Linked DNA regions of Oreochromis niloticus. The protein of the gene in region 2 binds, or shares a complex with, the protein of the main gene of each other region. Links are inferred from orthologs where the notes say so. Each region holds a gene or a part of one and is shown on either strand. Other genes may lie near its edges.

What was found. The genes of interacting proteins can lie anywhere in the genome.
Region 1: surf1 (region 2) and cmc1 share a complex: the UniProt entries of both Homo sapiens proteins name them as parts of the MITRAC (mitochondrial translation regulation assembly intermediate of cytochrome c oxidase complex) complex. The link is inferred for Oreochromis niloticus from reciprocal best matches to the Homo sapiens genes SURF1 and CMC1.

What each region holds. Positions count from the first base shown.
Region 1 is NC_031976.2:10,658,967-10,669,429, forward strand, and holds the start of cmc1 (COX assembly mitochondrial protein homolog), read right to left. Parts: upstream 4,609-10,463; 5' UTR 4,444-4,608; coding exon 4,425-4,443; intron 4,002-4,424; coding exon 3,909-4,001; intron 1-3,908. UniProt on the Homo sapiens protein: Component of the MITRAC (mitochondrial translation regulation assembly intermediate of cytochrome c oxidase complex) complex, that regulates cytochrome c oxidase assembly.
Region 2 is NC_031972.2:15,955,901-15,965,775, reverse strand, and holds surf1 (surfeit locus protein 1), read left to right. Parts: upstream 1-5,340; 5' UTR 5,341-5,425; coding exon 5,426-5,488; intron 5,489-5,617; coding exon 5,618-5,678; intron 5,679-6,047; coding exon 6,048-6,178; intron 6,179-6,288; coding exon 6,289-6,371; intron 6,372-6,556; coding exon 6,557-6,748; intron 6,749-6,843; coding exon 6,844-6,916; intron 6,917-8,112; coding exon 8,113-8,275; intron 8,276-8,411; coding exon 8,412-8,493; intron 8,494-8,589; coding exon 8,590-8,650; 3' UTR 8,651-8,982; downstream 8,983-9,875. Other genes in the region: kyat1 (kynurenine--oxoglutarate transaminase 1), read right to left, coding at 307-365, 449-520; surf6 (surfeit locus protein 6), read right to left, coding at 1,421-2,110, 2,278-2,360, 2,449-2,652, 5,088-5,178; rpl7a (large ribosomal subunit protein eL8), read right to left, coding at 9,399-9,503, 9,598-9,667. UniProt on the Homo sapiens protein: Component of the MITRAC (mitochondrial translation regulation assembly intermediate of cytochrome c oxidase complex) complex, that regulates cytochrome c oxidase assembly.

The DNA of each region.
Region 1 (10,463 bases), on a different chromosome or scaffold from region 2:
ACACAATCACAGACGCACACACACACAGGAGCCCAGTAGTGCAGACACAAACAGACAGAATAGATGATTGAGGGCGGAGGATGAAGGTGTGAAAATGAGTGGGACGAGAAACTTGTAATGTGAGGGGGGTTTCCACTACCCACAGCCCAGCCATGTATGTCCCATCACCTCTGTCTGCCTCCTCGTGTGAGCAGTACACCCTAGCTCATAGAAGCTGTCATCAGATTTCTAAAAACCACATAAAACCGTGACTGTCGGGCTGATGTGTTGCTGCAGTAAACGGGGCACACTGGAGCAGAGGTGCAGCCAAGTACGTGCGTGCGTCTGTGTAGATAAAGAGGCAACTGCCGTCATGCCAATTAGCCTGCTACTCAATACTGGAAAGAAGAAGAAGGGTCTGATTCAAGAAGGTCAAGAGTAAAGTAAATTCCTGAGGAAGGAAAGATGCAGTGTTGCAATATGACACAAAAATGGGGGCAGCAACATGCTACGCCACATGCAGTCCCCATTTTGAAGAACAACGTTTTACTAACACTCTAAGTTTATGCTTCCATTCCTGAAGCCTCTCTCAGACTCTTTTCTATCAGTCTGATGGCGTCTAAATGTTTTGCTGTCATGTTTCAATGAGCTCCCCGAGGCCTCAAATACAAAGCAAGATACCCCTCTCATCTGGCTTTACTTAACATAAGAAACAAGGCTAAGTGGTCACGCGAAGGTGATTATTCTCCAAAAGTTGTTTCTGTTCATTGGGTTGTAGCGTTTTCTGTGCGAGAAATGTTTCGTCACTCATCCAAGTGACTTCTTCAGTCTCAGCTGACTGCAGGATTCCCCAATCTTATAAACAGTACATTTGCATAATGACTGAAACCAGCCCACTGAAGGAACAATGGGCTGGGAAGTCAGCGAAACGTTTCTCCCACTGAAAACGCTAAGTCCAGATGAACAGAATAAACTTTCGGAGATTTACTTACCTGGATGATTGAGCATCCATCAAGACGAAGGTGATTATTGATATTAAGTCAGGGAGGAAAGCCAGGGTTTAACAATCTAGCTACGAGCGCATTCACACTAAAGGTGTGGCGCTGACAGCATCTGACCAATAAAAATGGAGAGCCTGACTAGCAGGTGAATAGCTGACTTTACAAAAGAAAGATAAAACTATAATATTAAGATTTGTTAGAGAGCACAATTCATGACTCAATCGCAGCAACTCATCCAAGTGCTAAAACAGCAGCAGGCGCAGACCATGTTCGATGGCTGGTACTTTTCATGAAACGATGTGTTCATTTTTACGCCAAATATAACAGGACTCAAAAAATTAAAAAGTTTAATTATGTTTCGCACAGGGCCAGGTAGGTTTGGATAGATTCCCTAACCCTGCTAGAGCACAGGATAGGTCTACAGCACGTTACCACGGTGATGTACCCAAGTAAGGAATGATCGCCTTCATAAAACAGAAAAACAAAGGTTAACCTTGAAGTTACTTGAACCAGCCCAAATCATGCTTCACACAGACCTCTGATCAATTCTGTGTAAACAATGAAACACCAATGTCCCGGCATGTCTCCTGTGCATACTGCTGAGTTGCTAAGCTAACCACTGTGTAACATGAACAGCATTAACACGTATGCTACAACATTTTACCTCACCCTCAGTGTCTGCAATGACATCAAGTCATTTCTCTAAAAGATTGATAGATTGTGTTCACATTAACACGAGGGCCACATACAGCTCACTTTGATTTTAAGTGGACCGGACAGGTGAAACTCCCTTTTCTCTCAGTGCAAAGAAGCTACATATCTAAATGTTTTTCTACGTGATAAAGAAAAAGCTGCTGTGACATGCTGTCAGCATGAGTCTTTGGACTTAAATTGTAAGAAATTCATGTGTAAATTACATAAATGTTTCTGTTTTTCAAAAGGTTATAATTTGTGAATAGCAGGAGTTGGGCTTTCTTGTCAGGGATAATTTTTTGGGGGGGAAAACACCCCAAAACAGTGGCCAACAACACTGTATGCAATGGCAGACTGGTGCCTTATTAGCAAGGAAATAAAGCAGAAAGTAGAGACTTCTGATGGGAAACTAGTCTTGAAGCACACAGAGAGATAGAGCTGTGCAGGAAGTGCGATTTTATCGTGGTGGAAGCAAGACAGCAAAAGTAAGTGAGGATTCATTATAATGTTTCTTTAAACACGAAGCAGGGTTTTGGTCTTGTTTTGCTGCTGGTCAGGTAAATTTTGTTCGGAGAGTGAGGAAACCTGCAGGTTCTGGAATCTGGGAGATGTTGGCTTTCAGCACCTGACGGCATGTTCATGTACATGTCGTCGGGTGAACGGGGGGATTCACCCTTTGGGTTTACATCTTTTTGTGGAATCTGTTTACCTGCTCTTTAATCGTTTACTATTTTAGCTGTTTGGTGATTGTTGAAATTGTTTTGTAAGCTTTTAGCTGAGATTCTGACATTTCTATGGATACCACACGGGTCTATATTAAAATAACAGATCTGGTGGCAAATCCCATTAAAGCAGATGATCTCCCTCTTGCCTCTGTTACTGGGAGCATTGAGGTTTATTGCTTAATTACTTTGTGTAGTATGAATGGCCATAAGGGAGGTTTTTATCAGTAGGAAAAGCTGTAAAACTTTTGAAAATACAGTTAAAAGTCCAAAATTTCTGCTTGTCCTTGATTGTGGTGAGCAGCAGATCAAACAAGTTAAGAATTATAAATTGCTTCAAGCGCACATTCAGGCCTGTGAGACACTCAGAAACCCAAGATCACTGAAATGCAGCCAGATGCTGCTCACTTTACGTTTTCACTCATTTCTTCACTTTTTCCTGACATGCTTGCATTTAAATCCAGCTTCGCTGTGTCTCTGTGTACATGGCCTGAACCACTACACTTGCTGTCTTCAGAACTTGCCCTCCTTCTTTCTTTCATATAATGGTATAATCCCAATCTGCCTTTGCGTGTGACTGGCCGCATGGTTTGCCCAACAAAATAAAGTCTCTCTTGACATATGAAATTGTATTGCGGGCCATATGTTTGACAACCCTGCATTAAAAGACAAATTAAGAACAGCAATGTTACACCCTTCCCTCTTTCCAGATACTCTGGCGTGATTGGTGATTGTAAATTTGCCATTGGTGTGAATGTATCTCTCTGTGTTAACCTTCTGATAGACTGGTGACCTACACATGGTATATGTGGACTCTCACTTTTTACTTTGGTTTTGATAGAACTTGAGATATTTTAGGTACCAATGCTCACTGTGCAACTGAATCACTATAGTATCACCATGAACCAGGATATACCCAGGGCCTGAAGATAAAGCAGCTACCAGTACATCCATTGGTTACAATACATTTTTATTTTTAACCTATACCTTTCCGACTGTGGCAAATCAAAATAATTTAGAAAAACAAAACAAAAAACAAGGTAGACAAGTTAGACTGAATTACTTCCATTTCCATCTTACTGCCAATTGTGAAATTAGGCAAATGTTGATGTTTGTCCTCGTTTTCTTGACTAGCATCACAGTGTTATAGTTAGCAAGTTGAATTTTCAAACTTTTCTAGTCAATCCCAATCAAAGCTCCTGGTACTCTGGTTCTTACTGAAGACCAAAGAAGTCTCTTTAAGGCACAGATTTAACCAAGATCTCTGCTTTTCTAACAAACTAACAACAGTATGACATAAGGCAGTGGACACACACACGTTTTAATGATGGCTGCTTTCCATTTGGGTTCAGAGTTGTATGCTGGTTCACTCTAATGGCTTACTGTAACACTCAGGTGAACTGGCATATGTTTCTTAACTGTGACAGTTCAAAACGGCCTCCTTAAAAAGGGACCCTGCTGTGTAAACTCGATTCCTGAGCGACACTTTAGTGTGGACAGGAGAAAATCCCACCTTCAACCTTGTCAGCACAGAGCTCCTTGGCTTTCTCCCTCATCTTCTTGGGGATCAGCACATCCTTCTCCACATGCCTCAGATGGGTTTCCTCTGACACGGCAGAGCAAAGCAAATATGAGTATCACCAAGTAAGCATCACAATAAGCATCAACCGCATCAAGCCTACTGAATATGCTTTCTGTTAATTATCAGAGGTGTACGTGGGAGACATGCGTGCTTGTGCTCAACTGTCGTTAAACGCGGATTACCGCACGCAGCTAAAGGCGAGGCATGTTTGGGACCATTAACTGAGACGCTAGACACAGAAGTTCTCATTTATGAGTAATTAACTCAGCATTTTCCTTCAAAGTCGCGACAGCCTCTTTAAGTGCATTTAGCTAACGTTATTATAGCGTCTCAGGTCCATTACAGTTCAATACAGCCAATAAAGACCGACCTAACTCGGACAGCTTATATTAAAAGTATGCCACGAAATACACGAAAAGCATTTGAGTGCATTACGGTATTTAATACCTGCATTTGTTGCCTCCATTGTGATGACTTTTCTTAAAACATTACCCCCACTGAATCAATGTGACCTAGCTCGCGAACGCTCAAAACACTTCCGCTGACGTAGTATGGTGGCCTGAAAAACTGCAATTCCCAGAGTCACTCTGGGCGTCGGAGAGCGAGCGGAGAAGCAGGAGGCTACAGGTGATCGAGCGATGCTTACTGTCGGAGCTGGTGGTTTAGCTCCACGCTCATTTCTGTTGAAGCCCGAGGAAAGGGATTTCTTATGTTTTATCACGTTAAAGAGACAGTCTCAGTTACAGCCTTTATTATTAGAAATATCTCTTATTCACTAATGCGATTCAGGAAATACTACTAATGCTAATAATATTAACTGTGATTAATTGTGATTGCACCAGCCACAGTAAGTTTCCGGTCTAGATGGAAGGTGGAATGAAAACCCTTAAACAAGAAGAAAACATAACTATATAAATTTAGAGCTTCAAAACACTTCTTTTTCTTTTTTTTCTTTCTTTTCATTATAAATGACACGAAATGACAGTTTTTACGTTCTATGTTTTTTCACAAATTGAAGTTACTGGGAGTGTGAAGCTCCCTGTAATTGCTCTTTGTAAACAACGGTGTGCAAGTTATATCATGCAGAAAAATATTTCTTTATCTAATGTGCTGATTTTTAGGAATGTAATCATATGATGATATTAAATGTTTATATTTTACAAGTAATTACATAATTAACATTTTGCACTGTAAAAACAAATTTCACTTTCTGTTAGACCCCAATGCAACCACAGATCATAAACATTAAAACTCCATTAGCCTGTCAAAAAGCTATATAGAGTCATGGTAAAAATGCAGTAAGTTTTTACATTTCTAAACATATTAAATATAATTTGGTCCTTAACAGGTCTTAAATTAGGTAAATACAACCCCAGATGAACTACAACACGTAGCATATTACACTGTGTCATTATTTATTTAACAAAAATTAAAACAAAATTAAGATGCAGTACCTTCTTTTTTCCTGTGAAACCCTTACTGCCTCCATGGAGGGTAATTAAATGCACTTCACTAACTGATCATAAGCAAGTGCAAGCACCTCTTTTAACAGCAGAAGTTTTGGCAGTTTTTTTCGTCAGGTGTGTTTTCACACATTAGAAAGGAGAAAAGATATCGGTAATGATTTTAGTAACAGTTATTGCTCATAAATCTGGGAAGGGTTATAAGGCTGTTTCTAATCATCTGTCCATCACTCTGCAGTGAGAAAGATTACTCACAAGTGGAAAACACTATCTTCTCAGATATAGATGTCCCAGCAAATTCATCCCAAGATCACACAATGCAATCCTGAGAGAAACTGCAAAAACCCCCCAAAACCCCAAGAGCTATATCTCAGACTCTATAGTCCTCAGTCAGCATGCTAAATGTTAAAGTTCATGACAGCACAATTAAAAAAGACTGAACAAGTGTGGTTTGTTTTGAAGGCTTGCCAGGAGAAAGCCTCTTCTCTCTAAAAATAACATGGCAGCGCAGTTTGGCTTTTCAAAATTGCATCTGAACAAACCACAACAATGCCCTTTGGACAGATAAAGTGGAGTTGTTTGACCGTAATGCACAGCACCATGTTTGGTGAAAACCAAATACAGCACAACAGCACTAACACCTCATACCATCTGTCAGCACGGTGGTGGTGGGTGATGATTTAAGCTTGTTTTGTAGCCACAGGACCCGGGCACCTTGCAGTCACTGAGTCAAGCAGGAACTCTTCTGCATACCAAAGTATACCAAAAACTCAAATCTGAGGTCATCTGCCTGACAGTGAAAACTCAGCCAAAATTAATTCATGCAACAGAAAAGCGATTGCAAGCACATCAGCAAATCTATTACAGACTAGTTGAAAAAGAAAAGAATCAAGATGTTGCCAGATTGAAATGCTGTGCATAAGCAAATGCTGGCAAACTTCAGTGAACCACGACAAGGTTGTAAAGAAAAATGGACCAAAATTTCCCTGCAGTGAAGTGAGAGACAGAGAAAGTCATATAGAAAACTAATATTTCCAGTTATTCCTGCTGAAGGTGCTACTACGAGAATTTGAATCATGGAGTGTGTTTAGTTTTTTTACACACTGATTCTATAGTTTGGCTTACTTTTTGTTGACTAAGCAATGACACTGTGCAATATGTATAAAAAGGGCCTAGTTTCTTTTAACATGCCTGTATACTGGTGTCTTTTTTTCACGTGTCTAATCTCCTTTTTTGGATTACACAAACAAAAGACTTTTACAGGGATGTCATTGCAATGACCATTTTCAGAGTAACACCTGTACTTCCCCTTGTTGGCAGTCCAACGTGTCAACTTTGAAAAGGGCGTATGCAGTTTTAATAAATGATTATGAAATAACTGTAAAACACCTTCAGATAAACATCCCACTTTGTCTGATGACTGTCTTCCAAGTAAAGTAGGTTAAGAGGCTGAAGCTGTAAAAATCGTACTATTATGTAAGCTATGTTGCATCAAATACAATTACATTGTGCTGTTAGTTTTGTGTGTTTTAACTGCCAGGGCTTTTTTCTGTACTCTCAAACTACGTATGGTGGCTACATATTTTTAATGCAAACAATAAGACTTGTTTTTAAAACAATATTTGTACCATGTGGCAATTGTGAAATAAAATCATAACAAAATCATCGAAAAACGACTCCTGAAAGTCAGCATCCAACCACAGTGTATCTGTACCTGAACCACAGCCTGTGTGTTGCGCACAGTAAGCCTGACCACAGTCAGCTGTGCGGCGGATCGGCTGTCTGGATCCCATGCAAACAAGGCCCACCTGTTCAATCAAAGAAACAGGTACCCAGCTCACAGACATATACACACCTTTAAGAAAAAGACAGTCTTCACACATACAGACTACGATAAGAAACAGGTGTGAACTACCCACCTCCACATCCAAACCACACAGACACACACCCAGTGCACCTTTACAGCTCACACTCACCCACACATCACCACCGCCAGAGGCGATATAGTGAATCTCTAGGCCGTCTGCCTGTAGTTCTCACGACTCTCTGACCTTACACCGGTAAAGCTGTCGCTTTCCTCTGTGGAGAAAAACAGCCTTTTCATCTAAAAATCAAAGACCAGAAAGAGCAAATCTATGATTTCTACAAGCACAAAAAACCCCACTCCTTTAACAAAAAGAGACCACAGGCCATCACCTGTATGCACACGTGTGCATGCTTTTTATTTCATTTTTTTGAACCTTGAACTTAAATGAACAGATGGATATACACACCTCCAAGTCCAGACAGCACACTCTTCTGTTTCCACCCCTTCTGACACCAGGTGGGCATCTGCAGATTTTAATATCAGCAGAGCTCTCCAAAATGCAACATTCGCCAAATTTCCACAGCAGGGCCAAATGGGCCTCATACGAATGATTGCACAACCACTGAAGCAAATATGATAAAAATGATATTTTAATATCGCTTGAATTCTTGACAAATACAAGAGCTTTATGTGGTGCGTGTCATCCTGTAAAACTGTTTTGACAAAAAAAAAAGTTATATAAGTCTACAATATACAAATAATTGATATTTATGAGCACTCAACAGGTTTCTGGCCAAAATCTTTTTTTCCTGTGATAAATCAGATATCTCAACGAAAGCTTGCTTTTCACTGTAGAAAAAAATATAAAACAATGTTTGTTTTTCATCTCTATACAGTGTGTGGCTGTTTTACTATGATCCTAGTGCTGGCTGTACTTAAACAAGCCAAGACCACATATGGTGCATACTTTTAATATTTCAGCTTGAGTGGTTTCCTTCTGACTCCATGTTTTTTTGTTTTTTAATGTTACAAATAGTGGTTTGGCTGCATTCATTATTTAATACAAGGAAGGGAAACGACAGCTAATGCACAGGTGCTTAACGGCATTTCTTTTTCTTGTAGGCTGTATTTAAAAAAAGAAAAGAAAAGAAAAGAAAAGAAAAGAAAAGAAAAGAAAAGAGGTATTGTGCCAAAAGTACCTACCTACATACAAATCTACTTCCTAATTTACTTTGTGAGTCCATGGTTCCCCTTTTCTATCAATGGGTTTTATTTTTTTTCTTGTGAGTCCACTTACCGCAGTACATTGTCAAAAGCGGTTGTGGTAAAACACATGTACAAAGTACATCTAATGTACTGTTTGTGGACTGATTATACACTGGAACATTAACTTTAAGAGAACTCCTAATAACATGAAAAATATTTGTTGTTCTGGTCTCTAATGAACTCACTGCTATGGGCCCACATGTTTTTGTTCTGTTATGTCAGAGATTATTTGTTGTCAGAGACGTCAACAAATCTTGCTTCATGTGGCTTTAATGCATATGAAATTCAACGTTCGAGGAATTTCAAAAATATGAAATATAAAAAAACATAGAAATTGAATCCTGAACAAGTCCAGTTGGCTCCATAGAGGAAAGCGCTCACTACCCCAGGTAGCGTGCTGACTGATATGGCAGGGACATGGGCTCCCAACACTGATCCAATATTACCCAAACAGCAGGGCCCCATGAACCTGGCAGAAGGAGGTTAGCAAAGTTAAACCCTCTTACGACATGCCTCACTGCTCAGGGCCAACCACCAGCTCCTCCAACTGTCCACTGACGGCCACAAAACAAGGCCCCTGTCAGAGAATGTTAAAGGGTCATTGATCTGTGGAAAAGCAATTATTGATCTATGTTTGAACTTTTTTTATTTGTGAAATGGATCCATTTAGCACACGGATATTAATGGAGGAGTGTAATTGGCAACAAGAAATTTAATACTTTGACAGCAACAACAATCAATTACACATTCATTTAAGGGAGAATATAAATAATACCAATATAAACATGAATAAAATCACAAACCTATAACTAACTCTTATAGTAATTTTGATGTGCATATTTAAAAATCTGTCCTGAAGGCGTATATAGCATGTTTTCCTAAAGTCTGCTCTCCTCTGCGGTGCAGAGCCGCAGCAAGGAGTAGGAGGCGTGTTCTCATTTCCTCCGTCTGCTCGTCTGCTCCCATCTCTACTCCTTCGACTTCCAAGACATCACTCAGCCGGCAGATGGGGTGTGGAGATGAGATTTTAGAGAGTGTTTAAGCCCAAGCCGTGGGGAGCCTCTTCAGGGTCGATAGAGAGCACATAATCCAACGGCTCGGGTGAGGGGATTACAAACCTACAGGCAGACTTCTGCTGTTGAGTCCTGCTGTGGGGCACCTTCCACAGGTCACCCCTGTGACATTTGGCTCCAGCAATTATTGTCAATGTCAACTAAACATCATTATATTAGGATGACTCCCTCCAGGATAGCTTCACCTTTCCTGACTGCTAGTCATTGCTGCTAATATATTGGACTCAGTATATTTATATATGTATATATCTATATCTATATATATATATATATATATATATATATATATATATATATACACACACACACACACACATATATATATATATATATATACATATATTTCTGCAGAAATAAAGACTGAGAAACAAATTGATTAATTGAATAATTGAGAAATTTGTAAACTGTCCATGCCTTGTATCCAGACTATATGTATGTATGTATGCATGCCTGGATAACAGTTTAATACATATCAGGCCTACAGGGATGGAGAATTACTGGTGTATTGTGTGTAAATGAACGTTCACATAACTTACACAATCCAATACAGTGTGCAATCCAAATGAAACAAATAAGTAAAAGAAAAGATTCAGGATTCTTTTCCACCCCTGCAGCATAAGCGTATACAATATTTAAGTAAAACAGAAAGCCTTTTTATTTTACCTTGGCTCTAGTTGTGTTGGCACCACCCGAGCAATGTCAGGATGCATTTCCTCTCAAGCAAGTGAAGGGGTCTGCCACTGTGCCACAATCTGCACCCGCTTCTCAGGCAGGCTAAACCCTTTGACACCACAGTTTTTAATTAAAATTACATTAGGAGTAATCAGCCAGAAGAGTTGGGAATGGAGGTCAGAGGGACTGAGGGAGGGGCAGGTGA
Region 2 (9,875 bases):
ATTTTTTTATTTTTTCTTCTTTTCTCAGTTAAACAATCTGTTTAAGAGAAGGCAGAAAGCAGGTCAGCGTAATTCAGTCCAGTGAAATATGCTGACAAAAACATTTCTGTTTCTGTTTCTGTTCTTCTTCTTTTTTTCTTTTTTTTAACCATAAATCTGAGCTAATGAGCAGGTACCTGAATGCAACTTGCTCAGTAACTGCAGACTCTGCTGTGAAATATTACTTTTGCTGTTATGGTTAATATATTACACATATGATACTTTACCTATCCCCTAAAAACACGGACATTTCAGGTCATTACTCACCAGACATTCTTATCCACCCCGTCTGTCCTGCGTGCATGAAGTCGCCTGGACATGATGACCTGAAACAACAAAACAAGCTTTAAAATACACGGCCACTGGCCGCTGGAGACCTCTGTCTTCAGTTTAACAGAGCTGTGCCTACCTTATGATTGTTTCTAATTGAACTCTGTCGAAGTAGAACCAAACTTGCTGCAATGTTCCGGATTATTCCCATTAATAAATGATCTTAGGCTCACAGGAGCAGACGACACATTCAATGTTGTCACTGAGTCCCTGCAGAAGGAAAAAATATCTGTAAACGTTTCTGTTCACTTGAAAGTCCAGGGTTGTTGTTGTTTGGGACCAGTGCAAGATGAGAACGAAGGTCCCAGCACCTCCCCTTCAGCCTCCTTGTGTTTTGATTATCTACTTCCTGTGTGGGCGTGGCTAGATATTACAATTAGAAACGTCACGGACGACGGACAAACACGCGCCCAAAACTCAAGCCGCGGTTCACCTCTGTTGACGTATATGTCAACAATATGTTAGGGTTTTGTTTTTTTGTTTTTTAATACCGTTTTTAAAAGTAGCCGTGAATTTAGGAGAAATATTCCTGAACGTTTCATTTCCTTCTGTTGTTTTTTATTTGAGAGGTCTCAGGTAGTCCTCCAGCAGCCTCAGGACTGACTTTTATCACTGCCAGTGACAAAAAAGTAGTCCAATAAAAAAAAATTAAAAAAGATAAGCCGCAGTTATTTTGTTTTATAGTTCACATTTTACAAATTACATAGATAACATTAAAAAATATATTGAGTTGGCGCTCACTGGCACTTGGCCTAAGAGAGAGCCAGGCTGCTAACCAGCTTCTTTATGGTAAAGCCTCTTTTTTTTTTCTTTTTCTTTTTTTGAAACGGGCACAAACACACACACAGAGCCAAATATGGAAACCTGTTAATTTGAATTATAGTCTGTTCACAATCATGTTCACAATTACATTTTATTGACCATGAATCAAGGTATTCCTCCTGGGCATTAGGGTCAAGCAATATCTGCACAAGGAGAACATTTTATTATCATGTGAATATCACAGTGCCATACAGAAACTGAAAAAAGATGCAAGTTCTCTTTCCTTTGACTAAACTTTGGCTTTTTTCAAGTCCTCGGGCAGCACCCGGCCCTTCTTCCGCGCCCTGTCCTTCTTCTTCTCTGCCCTGCCTTGCTTGCGTTTCCGCAGGTTCTTTTGCCTCTTGTCCTGCCGCTGCTGCATCTTTCCTAGGACGTGCTCGCTCCGCTGCTCCCATTTCTTCTTTTTCTGAGTGCGTCTCTTCTCCTTCTTCTTCAGCGACTCGCGCAGCATGTCCTCGTTGTCTTTGATTTTGATGCCCTCTGCCTTGTAGAGCATGTTGGTCCACATGATCTTCTTTTCCATCTCGCGGGCCTTCTCCTCGTCTTTCTCTCTCAGCTGTTCCAGCTTGGCTTTGCGAGCCTCCACGCGGCTGAGCAGCTGCTTGTAGTTCTTCCCCGTCAGAGGAGTTATCTGGCCTTTTATCCCCTGTTTCTTGTTCTTCTTTTTTTGTTTCTTGTCTATATAACCCTCGTCCACCGTCTCAACCTTGTTGAAGACCAGAGCAGTCTCATTTCTTTTGCTCGAGGCAGCGATGTGCTTCTCTTCCTGTTTTACCTCTAATGGCTGTTCTTTCCCACTTTTTTCAGCTAGTTTCTTCATCAGAAATTCTTTTCTTTTCCTCTTCTTGCGCTCCCGCTCCAGCTTTCGCTTCGCTCGCTTCGCCTGGACAGCTTCTGATAATGCATCCTTTGGAGTTCCCTGATAAAAGACAGGTTAAGATGGTTAGGCTCAAAAAATAATTCTAGGGCACCAAGTCAAGTGACATCACTTCCTGTTTTAGAAGATCCTCAGTACAATAACACCCCCCCCCCGTCTCCCTTCATGAATCTCTTTCATACTGTGTGCAGTCTCTGAAAACTGCATACCTGTCCTCTGGACTCTTCAATCTTTTCGTGGAGCCTCTTGCGTAATACATCGACTGTAGTGAAGCTGGAGTCTACACTTCCTCCTTAAAGAAAAAGCAAATAAGCATTAAATGAGACCCAGTCATGTAAAGAGAAAAACCTCCGCAGAGGACCAGCGTAGGCTCGGTATACCTTGATGCTTCTGTTGTGTAGCTCCATTTGCGGCCTCAGTGTTGGACTCGTTTGGTTTCACGGCAACTTTGATTTTCTGCGCTGCTGGAGAGGGCGAAGGCTTCTGTTGGGGTTTGGGAGTCTTGCCGTCTGTGACCTCATCTTTCCTTTTGCATTTTTTCTTCTTCTTTGGAGGACCAGTGTCACTTTTAGCTTTGAAATGAACTGTACACACACAAACACAATGCACATATTGATGATTGCATGTATATAATGTGTCACTGCAGTTCTACAACACTGCCATTACAGTTACTAGCCTAGGACATGCAACATGTTCAGATAATGTCAGCTAACTGGAGAAAGAAGGATTTGAAATTTTCTGTTGGCAAACTCATGATCAGCTCGTTTCCTCATTTTCCATGAGAAAAAAAACACTCACAGCTGATTTGGTGGGTGACTCTTCTCTTATAAAAGCAATCCTATTAGCAGTAAAACACCTTCCAGTCAATTTATCTCATGACTTCTTGATATGACAAAAACTGTTCTTATATCCTGTGATCAAAGGATGTATGTCTACAAGTTATGAGCTGTTTGGTTTCAAAGTAGTCCACCTGGAGGTCTAGTGTACACATACTTGTACAATGAGACCGTTTTTAAGCCACTTTGCCATATTGTCACTTTTATTGCATATCTTTTTCACTATAATTTTAAATTTAAGTCCTAGACAACAACCATGCATTAGCTGGATGGACTTGAAGAGGACTTTAAAGAAGTGTAATGAGAACTACTGTTGAACTGTTGAATCTCAGTTGTCTGCATCTGCAATGGAATATAACCAAGTCTTTAAGTTGGCTGCGCAGCCTGTCAGAGCATCTCAAGGGAGGAAACACAGCACTAGGTTGTAGACTTAAGAAACCTACTGCTTAGGAAGACTGCAGAAGTATTTAAAGTAGTAAGTATGTATTTATATTTTAAATTCTGTTTATGTGTCTATTTACTTTGAGGGGGGATTTGTGTAAAACTTCTGTGACACCTACATAGTTACTGCATTACTTTTGTTAAAGCCCTTGAATAAAAGTTGAGCCTCTGCACTTGCCTGATTGATTTAAAGTCAACAGTGGAGGTGGACAGTAGGGCTGCCACAAACGATTATTTTGATAGTCGACTAGTCACCGATTATTTTTGCGATTAGTCGACTAATCAGATCATGCATCCATTGGATGTAAAACATACAACTTATTTCACCAGCATGCATCTGCTCTTATATAACTATCATTAGCTTACAGCTTTAAATGTTTAAGGTATGTGCTAACTAAAAATAAAGACAAGATGATAGTTTTTTAAATTTTAATGACATTTGTAGTTTGTTTGGTGGAGTTTAATAAACTCAGCCGTCTGCTCCTTGCTATCTAAAATATAACAGGACACCGGAGTATATTCTCGAGCATCTCAACACTTCTGATAATCAGTTGTCTGCTTGACGTTTATTCAGCTGTGTAAAAACTATAACTTTAATCTCAGCCAACCCGATTTACTCAGGAACAAATAAAATACTAAAAAAAGCCAAACAATATCATTTTTAAGTTATCTAAGTGACTAATATATCATGTTTAACCTGAGTAGCGAAAGACGGCGGTGGGTTTGAAAACGATTTGCCGGGAGTCCGGTGTTCTCACCGGCTCTAGTGAGCCGTCAACCCCAGCTAGCTATCGAGCTGGTGGGTAACAGACGTCTCCGAAAACGTCGGAGCGCACAGCTATATTCACAGCTTTATTCTCGCCTGAAAATATGTTAAAAGTTTATTTTGTGACCCAGAAAGAATAATAAGAGTGATATTAAAACTAACTAGCTGCCGCCATTGTTGAAAACTGAGCAGGGCCGCGCTATGAATTCTGGGACACAGATTCTTCTTCTTCGGGGTTTAACGGCAGCTGGCATCCTTGTACATGCAGTGCTGCCATCTTCTGTTTCAGTCCGTCATTACACTCTTAAATCCTACTACTTATTCCTGCGTCTTTTGGGATCTTACAAAGCTTCAAACGACGCGTCGACTATTAAATTAGTCGTCGACGATTTTAATAGTCGACGTAATCGTGACTAGTCGACTAATCATGACAGCCCTAGTGGACAGAGACAAAACTACAAAAACAACCCAAAAAGTAGCATTGTCCAAAAATCTATGGAGCCAGCTTTAAAAAACATAAAAAGGTCATTTACAATATTAGTTCCCCCCGAGTTATAAATTAATCTTGTTGTCCACAACTTCCCACATAAATGAAATCAGTGAAAGGTAGAAAATTAGTACCTTTAGATATTCCAAAAACAAGTTTATACTTAAATATATGACAAAAACTCATTTTTTTTAACAGTTTTGGGGACAAAAAAGTCATTTAAGAGTAATAGCAGATTATTTTTCTGACATGCTATCAGTTTGGTAACTTTAATAAACAAAGGGTGCATAAAGCCATCAGATGTTTCTCAAACACTGTAGCGCCTCCTGTGGTACCAAGTAGGTAAAACCTGAAACTGTGGCACAAGGTTTGATGACATTTGCTGAGTTTTACGTAGTTTTTCACAATAAATAACACCTAAATGTTAAAGTATGCACTACAGCTTCAATTTTGCCATGTAAACAAACCCAAGCATTTAGCTAACATTACCGAACGGTCTCTTCCTGGGCTCCTGGTCACGTTGAGAAAACACTTTACTTGCAAGTTTCTGAATGTACGAGTCCTTTGAGGCGAGATCCATGTCGACAAGTGAAACGGGCTCCCAACTTTAATCCGGATAAAACAGACACACGATATTTACTGATAAAAACATCAACACGTCCACAGAAGCACGTGTGTAAAAATTAAAAGGGGCGGGGCGTCGCCAATCCGGAAGTAGTAACACCAGAAGTGGTCCCCCTCCAAGCAGAAACTTGTCAGTTATGTAGCTGTGATGTAGTCGATTGTCTCGTCCATTTCCATCCATTTCCACGTTGTTTTGATTCAGAATGGTCTCTCTGACATCTCTGCTGACTTACTCCCGGAGGCTGCTGCCGACACTAAAAACACAGGTGCGTTAGTTGTCGCAGTTTCTCGTCTTTACGGCTCAAACAAAAAAAAAAATTACGTCAAAGTCATTTTCATTGCCGAGTGAACGACTAGCAAAAATGCTGAGTTTATTTTATACATGTGTATTTCAGAATCATGCCTTTTACACCAAGAGGTCTTTCTTCCTGCCAGGACCCTTCAAACGTGTAGACGGTACAAACTAAACTTGTCAACAATTACACCGCCTTTAGATAATTAGAAAATAAAGTCACTGTTGCATATGTTTTCTTTAGCAATATTTTTTCCATTTAAAAAAAAAAAAGTAGAAAATAAATCCGTTTTTTATCTGTTATATGGTATTTTGTCTTTAATGTTGAAATTAGGTAAAAAGTAATAACTACGTAATAATATAAAAAAAATCAACAAAACCTGTTCAGTTTACATTAATGTCTGTCTCCATGGCTGCTGAAATAATCATTATGTATACATTTTAGGGGTAGAATATATATACATTATTCCATTATATTATTTGTAATTGTTATGTCAATATCCACCTTTCACTATTATTCTTTACATAACCAGGCAGGTTCCTTGGCTTTGGACGACAGTCCAGCTCCACAGCAGCCAAAGCTGCAGAGAAAGGAGAAGACTCTTTTCTTAAATGGTTCCTGCTGCTTATCCCTGCCACCACCTTTGGCCTCGGCACATGGCAGGTACGACTTATTTGTTGATTGTTATTGCCTTTTTAAATACACACAATGCGGTTATGTCTTTCTGGTTGTTGTTGGGTGGAGTCTAGTGCCTTCATTGCCTTCATCTGTAGGTGAAAAGGCGTCAGTGGAAATTGAAGTTGATTGATGACCTGACACGACTCACTACTGCAGAACCCATTCCTCTTCCTCTTGAGTAAGTGAGTGGCAGAGAGTGGCTAGATCCTGTATCTATGGGAGAAAATATGAAAAAGCATAATAGGTGCTCTTTAACACTTCATGTAATGGCCTAATGTGCAGAAGTTGAATAAGCCACGTTATGTACATATGTGAATCATTAAGGTGCAGATTTACATGCCATTTCCCCCCCTTGCATTGTAGTCCTTATGAGGTTAATAACCTCGAGTACAGAAGAGTCAAGGTACGTGGACGTTACGATCACTCCCAAGAGCTGTACATTATGCCCCGCTCACCAGTCGACCCAGAGAGAGAGGCCAGAGAAGCAGGAAGGCTCTCTTCAAGTGCAGAGACCGGTGCTAATGTCATCACCCCATTCCACTGTACCGACCTCGGGTAAGGAGCCAGATAAAACATCTCATCATACCAATATCTGTACATTGATCTTGCGCTGCTCCCAAAACTGATTTATACCGTCTGTGTCACTGAAGCATCACAATCCTGGTGAACAGAGGATTCGTGCCCAGGAAGAAAATAAGACCAGAGACCAGGATGAAGGGACAGGTGAGGGGAAGACATCAGATGCTGGGTAAACACAGAGGTTTTAAACCAGGTTGGAGTGTTAAGTCTTTTATTATTCTTGATAAATGAGTTAGTCTTTGTGCAATAAACAAATCTCAGACTCACTTATAAGTCTAATAGGTTTGTGACAAGCTATGTTAGAACTAAGACTACAGTTCAGTTCATAGGTTTTACATACCAGGACATAATAAAAAGTCATCTGGTTGACAGCAAGTCTTAACGGCTAAATACAACCTCAGATGAACAACAACATGACATATCACACCATGTAATTATTTACTGAAAACTAAGCCAAAATACAGAAGCAGCATGTGTAAAAATGATTTACACCCTTACTTACTTCCTGTTCCCGTAAGAATTAGGGGGATAAATTCCAGCCCTGTTGCTGATAATTAAGTGCACTTGATTAATTGATCGTCAGTAAGTGTGAGAACCGCTGTAAAGGTAGAGGTTTTGGTAATTTGCTGGTCTGGAGTATTCAGGTGTGTGTTAACAGAATACCAAAGAGATAACAGCAATGATCCCCTGGGAGGGTTAAATGACTATTTCCAAATATTCTGAAGTCCATCATTGTACATTGAGAAAGATTATTTACATATGGAAAACACTGAAGAGTTTACAGTCTTCCCAGGAGCGGACGTCCCGGCAGATCACCCCAAGGTCAGACCGTGCAATGCTCAGAGAAATTGCAAAAAAACCCAGTAGCTACATGTCAGACTTTGCAGGCCTCAGTTAGCATGTTAATGTTAAACATGTTAAACAGCACAAAGAAAATAATGAACAAGTATGGCTTATTTTGTTCACGTATAACCTGTTTTGGAGCACAAGTTACTATGTTGATCCACCTTGGTAAGAAGTGAACCACCCCTGAAGTTACCTGGTCAAGACAAATCCCACATCCTAGTATAGGCCTTGGGTGTTTCTAGTTTTGAAAAACTCTTGATGTACTGAGAATTCATCTTCAATTAGGCCCCAACTCCCTTTAGTAATTGAATAGTTTAAATATGCCTTGAAGACCCTTTTATTGTCATGTTACTCCTACTAATAAACTTTCTGCATACAAATTTAAATTAACTAAAGCAGAACTGACCTACACCACTTGTCTGTTCGCTAACACACTAACACCACCTTTGTGTTGTTGTAAACACTTGAACCACTGAAATATTGCCTTTATGCAGGTGGAGGATGAGGTGGAGTTGGTGGGAGTGGTCAGACTGACAGAGAATCGTAAACCCTTTGTACCAAACAATGACGTGGAGAGAAACCGCTGGCATTACCGTGACCTGGAAGCAATGGCACAAGTCACTGGAGCCGTGCCCATCTTCATTGATGCCGACTATGGTATGTTCAGTGCTCTTTGACGCAGTGACTTTACATTAAGATTAAACCTCTGGAATCCTCCGTGTGCTGTTTATCTCACTCACATCAACAGAAACACTTTGTTTTTGAAAGTAATTTAAAGTTTTGTCTCATGCAGGTAGCACTATTCCTGGTGGGCCAATAGGTGGACAGACTAGGGTCACACTGAGGAATGAACACATGCAGTACATAATAACATGGTGAGTGTTTTGTTTTGGACTGCTGTAGATATGTGACACACTCATGTCTCAAAGTGCATTTGATTAATAAAATTCTGAATTACTTTTTTCTTCTAGGTATGGTTTGTGTGCAGCTACTTCCTACATGTGGTATGCAAAGTTCATCAAGAAGATTTAAAGCAATAAAATTATTTTACTTGGTACTTGAACTATGGGTAAGCAAATCTTGTATGTGCTTAACTTTTGTAGCTCCAGCCTGGTGCATATATTATGTAAATAGCCTAATGTGTAAATAAAGTACTCAAGCTCTGAGATTCTTTATTTACCTTGTCGCATATACTACGTACCAATAATAACCGTGGGGAAAAAAGATCCTCGTGTCCTGTAAATTATGTGGTTTTGATAAAGCATCTTATATTAAACTTAGGCCAGTTTTTCTGGAAATGTATTTTTTTCAAAACTGGTTAACTTTACTGCTGGATGATATTAAATATAATATCAATATGATCAGATTCAGTAACTCCAGTTACAGAAACTTAGACCATCAATATGTCTACACTTCAATGAATTGAAAGGTAGAGTTCATGATAGTTTTCACCTTTCAAGTTGTGGTTTCTCAGTTATAAAAAAAAACCCAAACAAAACTATCCTGATCACTCTTTTCAAGCAATTTGTCAGATAATGCCCAAGATTATCATTCATCTTGATTTAAACTGTGACACTTCAGGATTCGGCATGGGAAACCTAAAAACGTCAGTTCCACCCTTATTATGAACAAGCAGAATTTAAAATGCTCCCATGTTTACATTTCCTGCTGTCACTGTGGTGACACCTGCAATCTGATTCTAACATTTTTATAATTTTAGTTTGAAAATTAAACAACAAAAGTCTTTCTTTTAGGGCATACATTTTTTATTCCAAACAATTTAACCAAGCTTGGTTGCAAGTTCCTTGGCCTTTGCCTTCTCCAGCTTAGTGATGCGGGCTGTGGATTTGGGACCCATGATGTTACCTCCCCAGTGACGACGGATCTGGAAAATGAGATCGCGAACAGTTAAATATTTGTACAATTTGTTTTAGGATTTGTGAAATGTAAACACTGCTAACTGAGTAATGGTTATTCACCTCCTCGTATCTGTCATTGTAGTTGGTCTTGATGGCTTCCACGAGCTTAGCAAGTGCACCTTTGTCCTCACTAGAAGTAGGGAAAAAAAGAAAAAACACTTTTATACAGATGACTAAATTTCCCTGTTTGAAAATTCACTTCAAATTCATACATACTGTGGTCCCTGATTAAGGGGTCAACTGCTATAGAAAATAATCCAAGCAAATTTGAAGACGTGAATTAAGATCTCACTCCAGAGGAAGTATCAAATCTTTTCTCCAGCCAGTTATTGAACATG